2 linked regions of the Struthio camelus genome follow. The protein of the gene in region 1 purifies or fractionates together with the protein of each later gene. This does not show direct contact. Links are inferred from orthologs where the notes say so. Each region holds a gene or a part of one and is shown on either strand. Other genes may lie near its edges.

Region 1 (7,026 bases):
TAGGACATAAATGAGTTTGTTCAACCCTCTAGTACTTTTCTGCGTTGGAAATCAGTCTAAGTGAAGGCCATGCTGTAGATCTTTTCTTTGTTTCTAAAGAAAGCAATTCCTTATGATAGAATCGTATACAGCTCTCCTAAAAGCAGGGATTTATTTGGAAATAACATGCTGGAATAACATCTGGTTTTTAAACCGCTATTTCAAACATCACAGCGTTGTCATTGGGTTCTTTAAGTGCTTCGCTCTTTGAATCGATGGGCTCTCAATTTTTCTGTAGCTCTTAATGTACTTGAAGATTATTACTGTTCGAGCACCTTTGAAACACTTAATGTCAGTGCAAATCTCCTACTATCAGACATAAATAAACCTGTCATCAAGTCAGAATGTGAGCAGCTCAGCATCCAGTGCTTCCTACTTAAACACCTGAATAGGAGCTGCTTGCTACTGCTGATGACCTGCCAGTTTTTTTCAGGTGCCTAGGTGGGAACTAAGGATTTCTGGCTCTTGCCGTGTGGAACTTGTATGTATTGAGGTCACCAGTGGTTGGAAAATATATCGTTTGTGCTTCCAGTGCTGATACAGAACTGTTGGGGTTTTCATTTGAAACGGGCATCTTAATTCTAGCAGAGCCTCTGTGACTGAGTGCTCTCTAGTAGCAGAGAAGTGTCCACAGGCTGTTCTTTAGGTGGTGAATGAAGTTTTTAAAAGTATAAAATAGCAGTTTAGTAGCGAACACAGCATAGGTCCATAGCGTTAGTAGCTCACCATTGAGTACTTGTGCTTCCTATCATAGCAACTTCCATATTTGAAGGCAACTTTTACACCTAATCTTAAAGGAAAATCTTGTTTTTTTTTTTTTTTCACAACTTGCCTTACCAGTCTTGTAATTAAAGATATTTATGATTTTTAAAGTCTTTTCCTAGTTAATCCTGCAGTGATTTCAATGCTGAACATGCTCATACAATTTTCTGCTCTGGTACTGTGGAAGTGTTAAATATGTGATTCATAATGTTGTGGGCTCAAGCGCAAAGTTGGGTGGTAGAAGTATTTACGATCATATGCAGTAGTCACAGAAAGCACTGACAGTGACTAACCCCAAACTGCCACGTATACAAATATGTGGAAAGCTCGCCTTTTGTCACCAAGGGACCACTTGCCGGGGGAGAATGTATGAAGAATGTTTTCGTGAAGTTTGAGAAGAATGAGAAATGTCCACTTCGCATGGCTAACGTTTTGTAGCACTAGTTCCTATTAGTGAACACGGACGTACCTGCTGAGAGCTGTTGCAGTGGCTTTTGTATGTGTGGAGTTACAAGCAAACTAATACATGCAGCTGGCAAAGGGCAGCTTTTTTTTTTCTTTTTTTTTCCTCTTGCCAAAAGTAGGTAAAGTAAATCATACTACATGTCAAAAGGATGTAGAAATTGCTATGTGATAGTTTCAAAGCATTGCCCTTAAAAAAACAGATTAAGAATAGCAGCATTTATATATAATCTGAAAGTTTGAGACCTGCTAAAGTTTGTTTTCTGATGTGGATAATTGTGCTGCTAAATTCCCTGACTGCTGTTGAAAATTCAAAGTCAGGTCCCACCACTAGAGCTGAGTCGATGGAAAGCGTTCACCAAAAGTGCTTTGCAGAAGGGCTTCTAAGCAGGGGGGTCTGATAAATACGTTCAGTCTGGCATCTGCATGTCTTGAGATCCTATTGAAAGCAAGTCTTCCAGATTTTTAATGGAGTAGCTCCTTCAAGTCTTGGAACTAATAGCGTGGGGCTGTGGCCAGCTGAGAAGCTTTGAGAACACTTGAGCTTTCTGGTTGTAACTTCTATTCTACCAAAGCCCTTCCCTACAACAAATATAAGGCCACTACGTGCTGTGTTTATCCAAACTTAGGATGTGAGAAGTGCTAGTTCTTCCAGTCGTGCATGACCGCAAGGTGTGATCACAAAATACTGAGTGCGTGCTTTGATATCTAACCCATATTTTCATGCATCTTCATTAACTGCATTTTATATCTGCATTAATTAAGGTAACATGAGACTTGCAACTACACTTTTTAGCCACAGGAGGGATCTCCAGTTCAGTTATACGTAGCAGCTACTGATGTGGGATTTTGGGGGTTTTTTGTTTTGTTTTTTAAAGAAAGGGCTAGAAGTTGCTTGTATACAACCACCTCTCCTATTTTGGTGCCACTGAGGAGCACTAACTAGTGAACTTTGCTAATACATCTGCAGTATTTCCGTTGCGCCAAATGCTTTTGCGTAATTAAAGTTGCCTCGTTCTACACAAATTCCCTTTCTCTATTCTACAGTACAACTGCGACCCGTTTTGTGTGTTGTCATGGGTTTTCTGTATAACGTAGGAATTGTTTTCTGCATGGCCATACTGGCTGAGGAGGTTAGACCTGAGAAGCTGTTTAAATGTACTATTGGAAAATAAAGATAACAAACGAGTAATTCTTCTTAATTTGTCTTAAATGGCTGGCCTGAAAGAACGAGATAGTAGGTGTTTCTTATTTGGCTTTCTCTTGGCTTTTGGGGGGTTCTCTTGTTCTTGTCGCTTCTCAGGACAAGTGATGGCTTACAGTTGGTCGGAGGGAGACTCTAGTTGTTGTCTGCGCGTCGCCATGCCCTGTGGTCAGGAGTTGTTCAAGCTCTGTTGGTAGCTTTTCAGAGGTTTCCCGGAGTGTTTCAAGTAGGAATAGCTGGTTCCTTTTGTGCAAGCAGGCGGTAGGACCTCCTTAGGAAGAGCTGCTGCAGGCCCTGGTCCAAGACGGGCTCCAGGGTTAGATGGACTCTGGATCAAACATATGCTGCAAATGAGGTCTCTTTGCATTCAAATCTCATCTCTTGTGTTATGATCACCATCAGAATGATGAGTGCCATTTTCTCCACCAGAAGCATAACTCTTTAGTCCAAGCATGGCTGCTTGGATCCAAGGGCACATATTGTAGTAATCATTGATCTCTGCTATTTCGGAGGATTTAAACTGTCTGCAGCAATGCAAGGTGTGCTCAGCTGAATGGTCAAAAGTATATATATCTATATATTTTTTTCTGTTCTCGTGTGAAGAACAATACAACCCTCTCTCTGCCTTAGCGCGGTTTCCAAAAATGTTATAGATCTATGTTATTCCATGGCAGAAGACTTACCATAGTGCTCAGGTGTTCTAGGGCTCACCTACAGTGGAAGGGGAAGGGGGAGAATCTAGCAATTGATTATTTTAAAGCCTGAAAGGATAATTATTTCCCCTGGAATTTGAGGTTTATCTCTTCATTGCATTTTCCTAGGGATAAATAGTGAGCTAGTACCACTGCCACCACTAATGCCCAACTGGTGCAAGTGAAAGGAGGGGGGATGCGTATAGCAGGAGAGACTAAAACTGGCTTGTTTCTTTTAACTCGAGGTGGCTGCTCCCTTCCTCCAGGGTCTTAATCTGGGCCTTGCTGGGCTGACTTTCTAGATATAATTAGGGGAAAAAGACAATACTTAAAGGCTTTTTCCATTATCTGCCCTAATCTCGTATTTTATTAGTCTACAGCATACGTCGTACCGCTCGTCTAGGCTCTCTGCGCCCCCCCCGGAAGAGGAGTCCCCGAGCGCGGCTGCGTTCCCACACCGGCAGGCTGGCGGAGGCGAGCCCCGCGACCGCGCACAGCCCCGCGCCGCGCACCCGGGAGCCCCCCCACGCGCCTGCGCGCGCGGGGCGCCACCCCGCGCCCTGTGGCTGGCACGTGACCCGCCCTTTGGACCGCACCACCCGCGCCGGGCAAGGGCGGGGGTGCGGCGCCGGCTCAAGGCCCAGCGCCTGCGGTGGTGGCAGGGCGGCAGCCCGTCCCTCGCTCGTCTCAGGGGTCGGGGCTCTTTCTCGGCGCTGGGTCGCCCGGCGAAAGAGCCGGAGAGGGAAGGGAGGAGCCTTCGGCCAGAGCTTATCGCCCCCCCTACTTTTAGGGAGTGGTTCTGCCCAACGCGTGTGCAAAGGGCGGTCGTGGACCGAGCCATTGCCGAACCGGGGGGGGATGGGGGGAAGCGGCCACTCGGGGAAGCGGCCAGCAGGTGTCGGCTCCGTACCGGGGACGAGGAGCTGCCGGCGCCGCTGCGCTGCCGCGCTCCTTGCTCCTTGCCGCCCCTTGACGGCGGCCCGAGCGGAGCCGAGAAGTCATCTCCTTCCCCCTCCCCCTCGCCGTCGCGTAGGGATGGTACAGGCCGGTGGGTCAGTCAGTGTCAGGCGCGCGGAGCCACGGGACGGGCCGGGGCGGGGGAGCCCGGAGCCGCGGTGAGTGTGGGGGGGTCCGGTCCGGTCCGGTCCGGTCCGGTCCCGTCGGGCCTGAGGCGTCCTGGCCCGGACGGTCCGGTCCTCCTCACGCCGTCCGGCGGGGCCCTGAGGCGTCCAGGCCTGGTGGGGGCATCGGTCTGGCCTAGTCTCGCCCCCTCAAGGCCGAGGTGTCCGGGCCTGGTGCCGGCTGAGGGGAGGTCGGTCCAGGCTGGGGTGTCCGTGAGGCGCGGGGCCGGGTCTGCCGGGGGTCCCGCTTCTCTGGTGCGGGTCTAGCACCCCGGCGAGCAGCCAGCCCGCTGCCTGCTTGGCAGAGGGGTGACTGTGGATCTGCCCTTGCTCTGCTACGGTCCCGGCTGCGGAGCGGTCAGGGATGACGAAGGCCTGAGTTTGGTCTGCCCTGTGGGGAACTTGGTGTCAAGGCTTCGCTTGGGCAAAGAGAAGACACTCTGCAAGCTGCTGCTGGTGTCTTTCAGCATGGGAAAAATGGACTGAGCGTGTAGTCCCTTTAGCTGAGCTTAGCCCCACGATCTCATGGAGGAGCGTAGAGAAGGACTTGTGCCGAGGGGTGTTTTAGCCTCTGTTTGTTTTACTGATGTTGCGTGCTTCCTTGCTTTCCTGCAGGAGGCCTGACCTATGTGCTGAGCTCTCACTATGAATGCTATCGTTGCCCTCTGCCATTTTTGTGAGCTCCACGGTCCTCGCACCCTCTTTTGTACCGAGGTGCTACATTCACCGCTTCCTCAAGGTGCAAGCAGCGGGGACGTCTCTGGGCAGAATGAGCAGGCGGAAGAAGAAGAAGGCGGCATTCAGATGAGCAGTAGGATCCGCTCACACAGCCCAGCAGAAGGTGCCAGTGCTGACTCCAGCAGCCCAGGGCCAAAAAAGTCAGACATGTGTGAGGTAAGTGTGTATGCGTGTGTGCAGACATTGGTGACCCCTTGCTTAACTAAGGGGCTCATGGATTCTCTAATTCCAATTGTATTGCTTAGGAGGAAGAAAATGCACGTGACCTACGCTCGCATTTGTGTGTGACTGCCAGTACCAAAAGATCTTCAAGTCCTTAAAAACTGTAATAACCCATGACAGGATGTTAAGGAACTGTTTTGTGCATATAGGCTTTGGCAAGGTGATCTTTTGAGGACACTTTGGCCTATGTTACCTGATTCTCTGGTGGCTGAGAAATGGCTCGTTCATCCTTGAAGAGGACCTGCTTCATTACGTTAGGTCTGGCCGTAGATTAGTAAACTTTAACAGCAGCATTGAACAGGAACCGGGAAAAAATCCCAAAAGCAATTAAAATGATAGAGAAAATACATGTTTGCAGTTGTTCACATGCTTTTCTGAGCTACTTAAGTTAGTTACCTTCTTTTAGATAATGGCCATTTTTATTAGCTCGTTAGTTTCGCAGTTGCTGTTAACGTTGAACTGAATTAGATGACTTGTAGAGTCATCATCAAATCCCGGATCAAACTAAACAGTGGAAAAAGAGCATAGCAGCTGAGGAAATATAGCCCTTAGGATGCTAGTTGAGGAGCTGGGTTCAGATTTGGACCTTGCCTCAAACTTCCTATGTCCAGCTTACTCTTAATGAATATCTGCATTTGCATCTGTAAATGTAAACATCACTTCCCTACCTTTTGAAGGGAACATGCAGAGGGCTTTGAAAACCTTAGGTAATTGCATGCTCATTTATGGTTGGATTTTGCTTTTCTATCTTCAGGGTTGCCGCTCTCTTGCAGGAGGACATCCTGGATATGTCAGCCACGACAAAGAGACTTCAATCAAATATGTCAGTCACCAACACCCAAATCACCCCCAACTGTTCAGTATTGTGCGTCAGGCCTGTGTTCGCAGTCTGAGTTGTGAGGTAACTGGCTTGGAGTGCAGGGGGAGAATCTGGTTTGGGGCTTACGCATTGTTCTGAATCCAAGATACTGCTTCGTTGATCTTAGCCGCTCTGTGCAGCCTGAAACAAGGAAGGAATGGAGGTGGAAAGACAGACATAGAAGTCCTGTTTGTTCCAGGATTGGTGGGAATTTTCCGGGTTGATCTTTGCTAACCGGGGTGGGGGGGAGTTCCTTCCTCTTGCCTTGTGACACCAGAAGTTTCCCTTTATTGTTTTTGCTCCTATGCATTTATTGTTTTTCTTTCTGAGATAAACTGTGTTTGTAAAAATGTTGCAATCTGTTGCTTTGCATCAAGAAACGTTTTATCTTTGCAGACCGTTTACGTTCAGCATCTCACAGAAGGGAAGGGGAACCTTACGGATTAATGAGTGTTTGTGTGTCAGAATCAGCAATTCCTTGTGGAGTCTCAACGTGATTATAGTGGAGCAGAGCTGAATTCTTAAAATAATTTAAATGAGGGTCACACACTTGCAGGCTATCTCTGGAGGTCTGTTTGCTTATGTATTTTGGATAGCAGCCTAGAGAAGGCTTGTTTTATTCACCAGGTAACTTAGGCTTCATGGGAGGGGGTGTTAAAGAGCAGGAGGCTTTGTTCAAGCAGTTCATTAGTGTTTCAGCTATGCGATGTACTGAACTAGTTTGGTGTATGTGTCCCTTCCCTTCAGGTCTGTCCAGGACGTGAAGGCCCTATTTTTTTTGGAGATGAACAGCATGGCTTTGTGTTCAGCCACACCTTCTTTATCAAAGACAGCCTGGCTCGTGGTTTCCAGCGCTGGTACAGCATCATCACTATCATGATGGACCGGATTTATCTCATCAACTCCTGGCCTTTCTTGTTGGGAAAA
Region 2 (7,395 bases), on another chromosome or scaffold:
TATCTGTATCAGTTGGCATCAAGATATATTTACTTATGTCTAATAATGTTTCTTACTCAGTTGTGTTATTTTTTTTCATATTCTAAAACTCCTCCTTTGAACAGGCACTCGAAGGCTGCATAGAGTGTGGTTTTTTTCCCCCTTAAAAAACAAAACAAAAAACTGAGGGCTTCACAGAAGAGGGAGAAGGAACAGCAAAGAGCAGGCAACCAAACCCATGCCTTAGGATACCACCCCTAAGGTGTGGTGGTGATGTCTGTGCTGGCCTGCTAATTTATGTAGGAGATATTAGTGTCTGAGATCAGTCAGTACTTGAGTGTAGCATTGAAATGCAACAAGAACGGGTACGGTATTATAAATACCTTCCATTATATTGCTCAAAATTATTCTTCAGAGGTGAAATATGTCATTCCTCATTCTCCTGTTCAAGAGCAGATTGTAAAAGCATACACAGTAAAGCTGGTAGGATAAGAGATTTCTATTCATCTCATTTTCTGGCATACGCAATTCTCAGACGTGCCTTGGCAGTATCTGCATTTAGTAGCAGTGTTCCTGGAAGCTGGCCCAGTCACATGGCGCTGCTGGAACAAGTGACATGTGAATGATGCATTGGCTGAGACCTGTGTTGAACGCGGGAGGAGGTGGGGCGGCGCCGCTGGCCGGGCGGCCTGCTCCTCTGCGCTCAGCAGAGATGCTGGAACGAGTACCGCTTGCTCCTGTCAGGCTGCTGCTGTTTGGCTCAACCTGTTTGTCTTTCAGTGCAAACTGGAAGTTGGTTATTGGAAGTGCCTTTAAAAAGACCAAGCTCTGTCCCTCTCAACAAGAATGTTAAATTAACAAGTACACCTTCTGTTCTTTGAAACTGTCGAGATGTATTACTGGGAAACAACTTTGACAAAATATTTGACTTCATTTTGATAAACTGAGATCTCCTGGCTGTTAGAAGCTACTGGGATTAGGGAGAATAGCTCTTGTGGGATAGAGTGGGGAAAGTTGATTAGGACTAAGCAAGAATTTTTGAGAAGAGACTGGGTTATGAATCTGGAGAGCTTATCTTTCTGCACTTTTAAATTTTACCCTCTGCTTGAAGTCCTAGTTTTAAAATATGCATCAATACTACCCTCTTAATTGTAAAATTGAATTAAATATGTGGATTTAACTTTTCAGTGCAGTTATGACTCTTGATTTCTTGTCTCTTTGCTAGCAAGGAGCCCCATTTCTGGGGCTAGCGGGTGAAAGTGCTCTCTCTGTGCTGTTTATGTTACCACTTCAAGCATGTTGTTTTGGGTTTTTGCATTAGCACTGAAACACTCTCTGAAACTTAGCTCCCAAACTTCTGACTTATCTATAAGGCAATGACCCGTGAATTTAGTGTCCAAACTTAAGAGTGTTGTTTGAGTTCTGAAACACTGATTTAATAGGCTATTCTTGATGTTTGTGGCAAGCTGATGTGTGCAATTTATGGTGACTTTAACTTGGTATAGAGCTGTTTGTGTAAGCCTCTATCAGGTGTTTGTGGTTTTTGTGGTCAGTTGTTTGGTATTGCTTTCTAGCAACTGCAGTAGTGAAAAATGCTTCCAGTTTTGCAAAAATTCAGTATAACCTCTCTCACTAAGCCAGGTAGTCTGTGGAGTTCCATGCTCGCAGAAAAAATACATCTAATGTTGTTTTACTTTTCATACAGCACTATGTAGAACCGTTTTCTAAAAGAATGGTAACCTTTCTGTACAGCGATCTGATATGGAGAATTGTACTTTCCCCACCACAACTCCTTCTTGCAGTAGAATCTAAACTGAGAGAGAAGTGCTGTAAATAACATGTTCCTTCACTTGTTGCATGACTAATCCGTAATGCATCCTGCTGAACTTGTGTGAAACTAGTAACTATGTATCATACTTAAACAAGGTGGTTCATCTGAGGTTAAATAGTACATTACCATATTAGGACTGCTTTAAATGATTATAGAAAAAGAACGTGATGTGGCATCAGCACGACTCTTCCATATTCAAGATTTTTAAAAGAGGGGAAGTAACTTTGGGTAAATTCTTAAAATGGGGGGGGGGGGGGGGGGAGGGAAGGTCACATCTTCTACATGAACTGTTCAACAGAATGAAGAAAGGAAATTCATCTTTAAGCAATCCAAAGCAGATTCCACTTCACCTATAAACATAAGCTGTTTTGGCACTCATCCCGAATGTCTGGGTTTGGGGCATTTTTTTATATAGTGATTTTGCTAAATGTATCTTTCACCCCCCACCCCCCAAATCCTCACTGAAACAGCAGGCATGGTTCAAACTTTGTTTTTCTATATTTCTCTAGTTGCTTTCTAAAAGATATAGTGGAAAATAAAACATTACTGGAGACTTTGAAAAGATTGTATTAAATTTGAGAACTGTTCAAATTTTAGTGGACAGTTGTAATTCATACAGAAAACTACTCTTAGTTAGGTAACTTCATTGTATATATTTCCTCTTTCTCCCATCCCAAATTTCCTTGCTAAAGTATCACCTTAAATTGGAAACATCTAGGCAATTATCTGAAGAGTCAAGATGAAGGGCAGGAAATGACCTACAAACAGAGCAGGTGACATGCTGTCACATAGCCTAGAAAAAGAGTGATTCAACACTGCTTCCCAAAGGACTATATCTGGAGGGCAGGACACTTTCTTCCATTTTATGTATTATCTCCTCTTTGGACTGGGGGTGATCTCCTGTGTGGCTTTGCTCCTGGGTGCCACCCTCCTTCCCCGAAGCTTGTGTTGATTTCCTTCCCCCTCTTCCCCCCCCCCCCCCCCCCCGTGGTAATTCCCAAAGTATTTTGGGACTTCTGGTACTCTACAGATGAATGCTACAATACTCTCATAGAAAGTCATAAAGTGCATCTATTTAATTGGCTTATTGGAGTTCCTAATTCACTGGATGTGAGTCCGGTAATGCAGTAATTTAGCTAAATGTTTCTGAATTTTGTTTAACTTTTCTTTGGGGAAGGTAGAACAGAACTGAATGCTGTCAGTTGCTGGTCCAAGTGTAACTAGTAAACCTGCCATCAACTGCTTTTCATTCAAGCTTCCAAGATAAATAGGAACGCTGATATTTGAAGTAGTGCTTGTCAATGAGGTAAGGGCGAGAAGTCACACTCTGCTAAATCATTTGAATAACTTTTGAGAACAGGCCAAAGCTTTTCACTTCTTTTGGACATTTGAGAAGGGGAGTAATTGTGATCTAGTACAGATTGCTAGTCTGGGAATTAAAACTGAGCTTTGTTTTTGGCTGCTATAGGTTTCTTGTGCAACTGAGCAAATTGTTTAACTTACCTGTGCTGTAGTTGCCGCCTTGTCATCTTGCCTAGTGGGACAGTGGTTGGGGTTTAGTGGGATTACTAAATCCTCCTAAGTAGGGTGCAGTGCTATTTAGCATGTATAACTAGGAAACTTACTACTTTTTCTAACCCTACTACTACTGTATTTCTGGGTAACCATTGGCCAAGTCACTTTCTCTCTCTTTTTCTTTTTTTTTTCCCCCCTCCATCTGGAAGAGAACTAGCCTTATTGCCATCATCTTATAAAGTGTCTAAAGCTCTAAAGATGGAAGAGAGCTATGCAAGAGATTAATTATGCATAGCCATGCATGGATACCTTTTTTTAAAGTGGAGGTGGGAAAGAGAACTTTGTTCTGCAGTGAAATTACGTGAGCCTGAAAAAAAATGTGCTGTTCTTTTAGTTTGTTAAAAAATGTTTTCTTTGTCAGAAGTATTTTGTGATATTTTTGTCATCAGTACTGCCATTAAAATGTTAAATACATGTTATCTGAACAATTTTGGAGAAAAACAGGCTCTGAGAAAAATATTTGTGAATCTGTCTCTTTGAATACTTTTAGAATTATCCACCGGGTAGCGTTTTAGGCACAGTTATAAATCCAATATCAATCAGCTTGATATTTGCTACAGAAACTTTTCTTTTTTCCTTCTACTTTTTAAAAAATGCTTTTAAAAATAGTAGTTTCAGGCTGCTAGCCAAGTGTAGATACTCTGTCCTCCACAGTAAAACCATTGTAGTGCAAAATCACTAGTGTGTTTCTTGGTGTTGGTGGGTTTTTTGTTTTTTAATTCTTTTTTTAGATAGCCATATGGCACTGATGACAGATTCTTATTTGCTCCTGAGCCCTATGAGGTTGCTAAGAGTTGTCAGATGACACTTGCTCACATGAGAACCATTAACAGGGTGTTGTAGCTGGTGTTAGAACAACCTTGCAGCAATGAAGGGCGAGTCACTGCAAAAGCAACTATGTCTTTTTTTTTTCCTCCCCCCCCCCCCCCAAAGGCCATATGGTTCGGTCTTGTGACTACATAATTGCCAGCTACCTAATCACATACCAGGAAGCAAACATAGTTAAAGTCAATATTAGTTGTTGTATCTGCTACAGCTTTGCACCAGGCTTGGTAGAAAAACTCAAACAGCAGCAAGAGCAAGTCTTTAATGGCTTCTGAAACTTGAAAGTCATATCTACTGCTCTGTCCTGGAATAATTACCGCAGTGTATTAGCTATAGCTATCTTTCTGCATTAATGGCTTGTAAAATATATGACTTTTTTTTTTCCTTAACAAGAAATTGGGCAGACTGGGTTCCTGTTTAGGGAAGAAGGCTGATAGTAATTACCATTGTTAATGACTTATCTATAGCAAAGAAATCTGAGGCTGTATCTCTTCAGCCTGTATTTGTTTTTTTGAAGGAGCTTTGCAAGAGCATCTTTAGCATAAGAAAATGTGTGGAGGAACACCAAAAGCTACAAATGGCAGGGGGGGACGAATAGAAAGAGCAAGAAATAGCAACAATGTACTACTTGGAAATAATCTCTCTCCTACCAAACTGGATAAAAGGATTAGAAAAGCTTTGGGAGACCAAAGTGTCAGCTGTGTGAGCAGAGTGACTAAAGTGCTGCAAGACAGGTATGCATGTAACTTTTTTTGGTGTACATAATTTTTGGCAGAGAATGGGTATTCTAAGTGTCTGTTGGATTTATAATCATGTGCTTAAAGGGCTAGCCTGTGAATAATTTAGAAAGCTTTGCTAGGATGATATTCTTGCTGATAATGGTGATTGATACTTCAGGAAGCCTTCCTTGTGTGAATTTGAATCTACATTCTTGACTCTGTACATTCTGTGTACATGCTAACTGAGGTCTGCTAACTGAAACTTTCTTTTCAGTTAAGGTGAAATAATCTTACCTTTCCTTTCTAATGTTCTAATTAGTTTCTCCTTTTTATTTTTATTTTTTATTTTTTTAGTCTCCTGTGTTAATGGCTCAAGTGGTAATAGTTTGCAGTGAAGATGGGAAGGAATGCTGTGAAGTAGGGGAAGAATGGAGAGGGGGCAACCCTCTGCAATACTTATAAATGATCTCTAGAACATTACATCAAAATAATGTGCAGTATGAATAGCATTTCTTTAACTTCTTTGTGATGCCCTTTTCAGGTGTGTGTCAGGATGTCTCTAGCTTCTCAGTCTCTTCTGCTGCACAGCTGTAATATGAAAGTACAGTTGAGGGCAGCTCTTTTTAAATTCTTATCAAGGGTGTTAGAGTAAAAATTATACTTTCAGGATTGCTGACCTAAGAAGCAATGAAGTATATAAGTACATATATGTGTGCATGTATGTATGTTTAAGGTCATCTTTTATTTCTTTAGCCTGTGGGTGTTACACTGAAATGGTGGTTAGTGTCTTTCTAAAGTGTTTCAGGTCAACTGAAGTAGTTTTCAAATATAAACGAATAGATCACTATTTAGTTATTGCATATGTGCTGGTTGCTAAAAAGTTGAGCTGATCAGTGTTTGCGGATCTGTGTTAACTGAAAATATTGATTCAAGGCAGAGAGGGGCAAAATTTCATAGCTTTTTTTCAGAAACAAATGACTCTGCTTTCCCCTAAGTAAAAAATCTCCTTGCTTTCAAGTCTTATGTCTGTGAGGAAAGAAATTTTGAACAAGCCAAAGAATAATAGTTTATTTGCCACCTTGGGAGAAAATGAAGCAAATTTTAAATGTAATTCTAATATGGAATAGAAGCTTGTTAGGGCATCTGTAAGCTGTTTCAAACTCACAGCTTTCAAAAAAAACTATTATCCATAGTGTTTTATTATCTTTAGTGGACCTTTTCCAAGTACAGAAAAGCTTATATTCCTGCTGTATAAACCTAGAAAGGTTGTTCTTGTCTTGAGGATCACATTATTAGTTCTGGCATTTTCCAGACATTGGAAAGATCCACTTTGAAGGTGAGGTTGAATAAGCTGGACTGTTCAAAAAGCTGATGTTGAAAGGAGCAATCACATTCCCCCTTCTTCCTCTGGTTTCTGGCAGCATGCTCCTGTCTTCCACCCCTTGTGCTGGCTTTGGTGTTTCTGATCTTTTTAGACCTGGCTCCATTAGGGAGTCAACTCAGACAACTAAGCTAGCAGAAAACTAGATCAGGAAACAAGAAAACCTAATGAACATCCCAAGCAGCCCCTGTACTTACTTGCAATGTTTTCTTTGTGCTCTTTCCTGAAGGTGGAGCTGTGGATGAAGTTAGCATAACTCCTGCTGCCACCAAGAGGTGGAGGTGCTGTGGTCGTCTTCAGCATCTTTCTTCTCTTTTCCAGCTTGCCTTCTGGCCAGCTTTCTTAGGCTGGCGTGGATTTCTGCTGTTCTAGAGAGTTCAGGTGGCTTACAGAAGGGTCTAACAGTTCTCAGAGCTGACATGAACAAGAGGACAGGTTGTGCATTTACGAAGAGGGGAGAAATGATATGTGGGATTGCTTTTCATATTGTTATCAAATAAGGTGTTTCGTTCGGTCAAAATAGCCATGTTTAACCTGAAATACAGCTATCCACATAGGCTTACATTCATTTAATGAATTCAGCTAATTTTTAAGAATATGCAGGATCTAGCATAATGTCTAGTTTTTAAGACAAAGTGAAACATTTCAGTTAGCTGTCAGATGTTTCTAGAACTTCAGTCTTATCTCCCCCTTACCTTTCTAGGGCGTGCTTATGTCAGAAATCAAATTTATCATTTTGCAATAAATTCAGACTTAGCTTCAAAAAACTAATTTTGTTCATTGTATTTGTAACTTTAAATAAGTCACTTATGAATATGTATGCCTTCAGCACAGATCACTGATGGAAGTTATTTTAGCATTTTTTTTAAGTAATTCCTTTACAAGAATTGAAGACAAAATCTTCTTATATAAGCAGAAGGAGAACAAGTTTTACATAAACAGGGCCGAGGCAGATGATGTTTCAGTTAGTATATGGTGAAATTTTTATTTTTGGAGACTTCTTCTAGGCTAATTGAAAGAAACAGCAGTTGCTTTGTTATCCAAAGGTAGTAATTGTATCTCTTATTCTTGTCAAGCATTCATAC

What was found.
Region 2: the proteins of FLCN (region 1) and FNIP2 purify together in Homo sapiens (affinity purification with western blotting; 5 studies listed by BioGRID and IntAct, with this or other methods). This does not show direct contact. The link is inferred for Struthio camelus from reciprocal best matches to the Homo sapiens genes FLCN and FNIP2.

What each region holds. Positions count from the first base shown.
Region 1 is NC_090956.1:4,044,009-4,051,034, forward strand, and holds the start of FLCN (folliculin), read left to right. Parts: upstream 1-4,001; 5' UTR 4,002-4,207; exon of another isoform or gene 4,208-4,471; intron 4,472-4,895; 5' UTR 4,896-4,925; coding exon 4,926-5,174; intron 5,175-5,994; coding exon 5,995-6,141; intron 6,142-6,846; coding exon 6,847-7,026. UniProt on the Homo sapiens protein: Multi-functional protein, involved in both the cellular response to amino acid availability and in the regulation of glycolysis.
Region 2 is NC_090945.1:41,145,932-41,153,326, forward strand, and holds the start of FNIP2 (folliculin-interacting protein 2), read left to right. Parts: upstream 1-4,365; 5' UTR 4,366-4,759; coding exon 4,760-4,944; intron 4,945-7,395.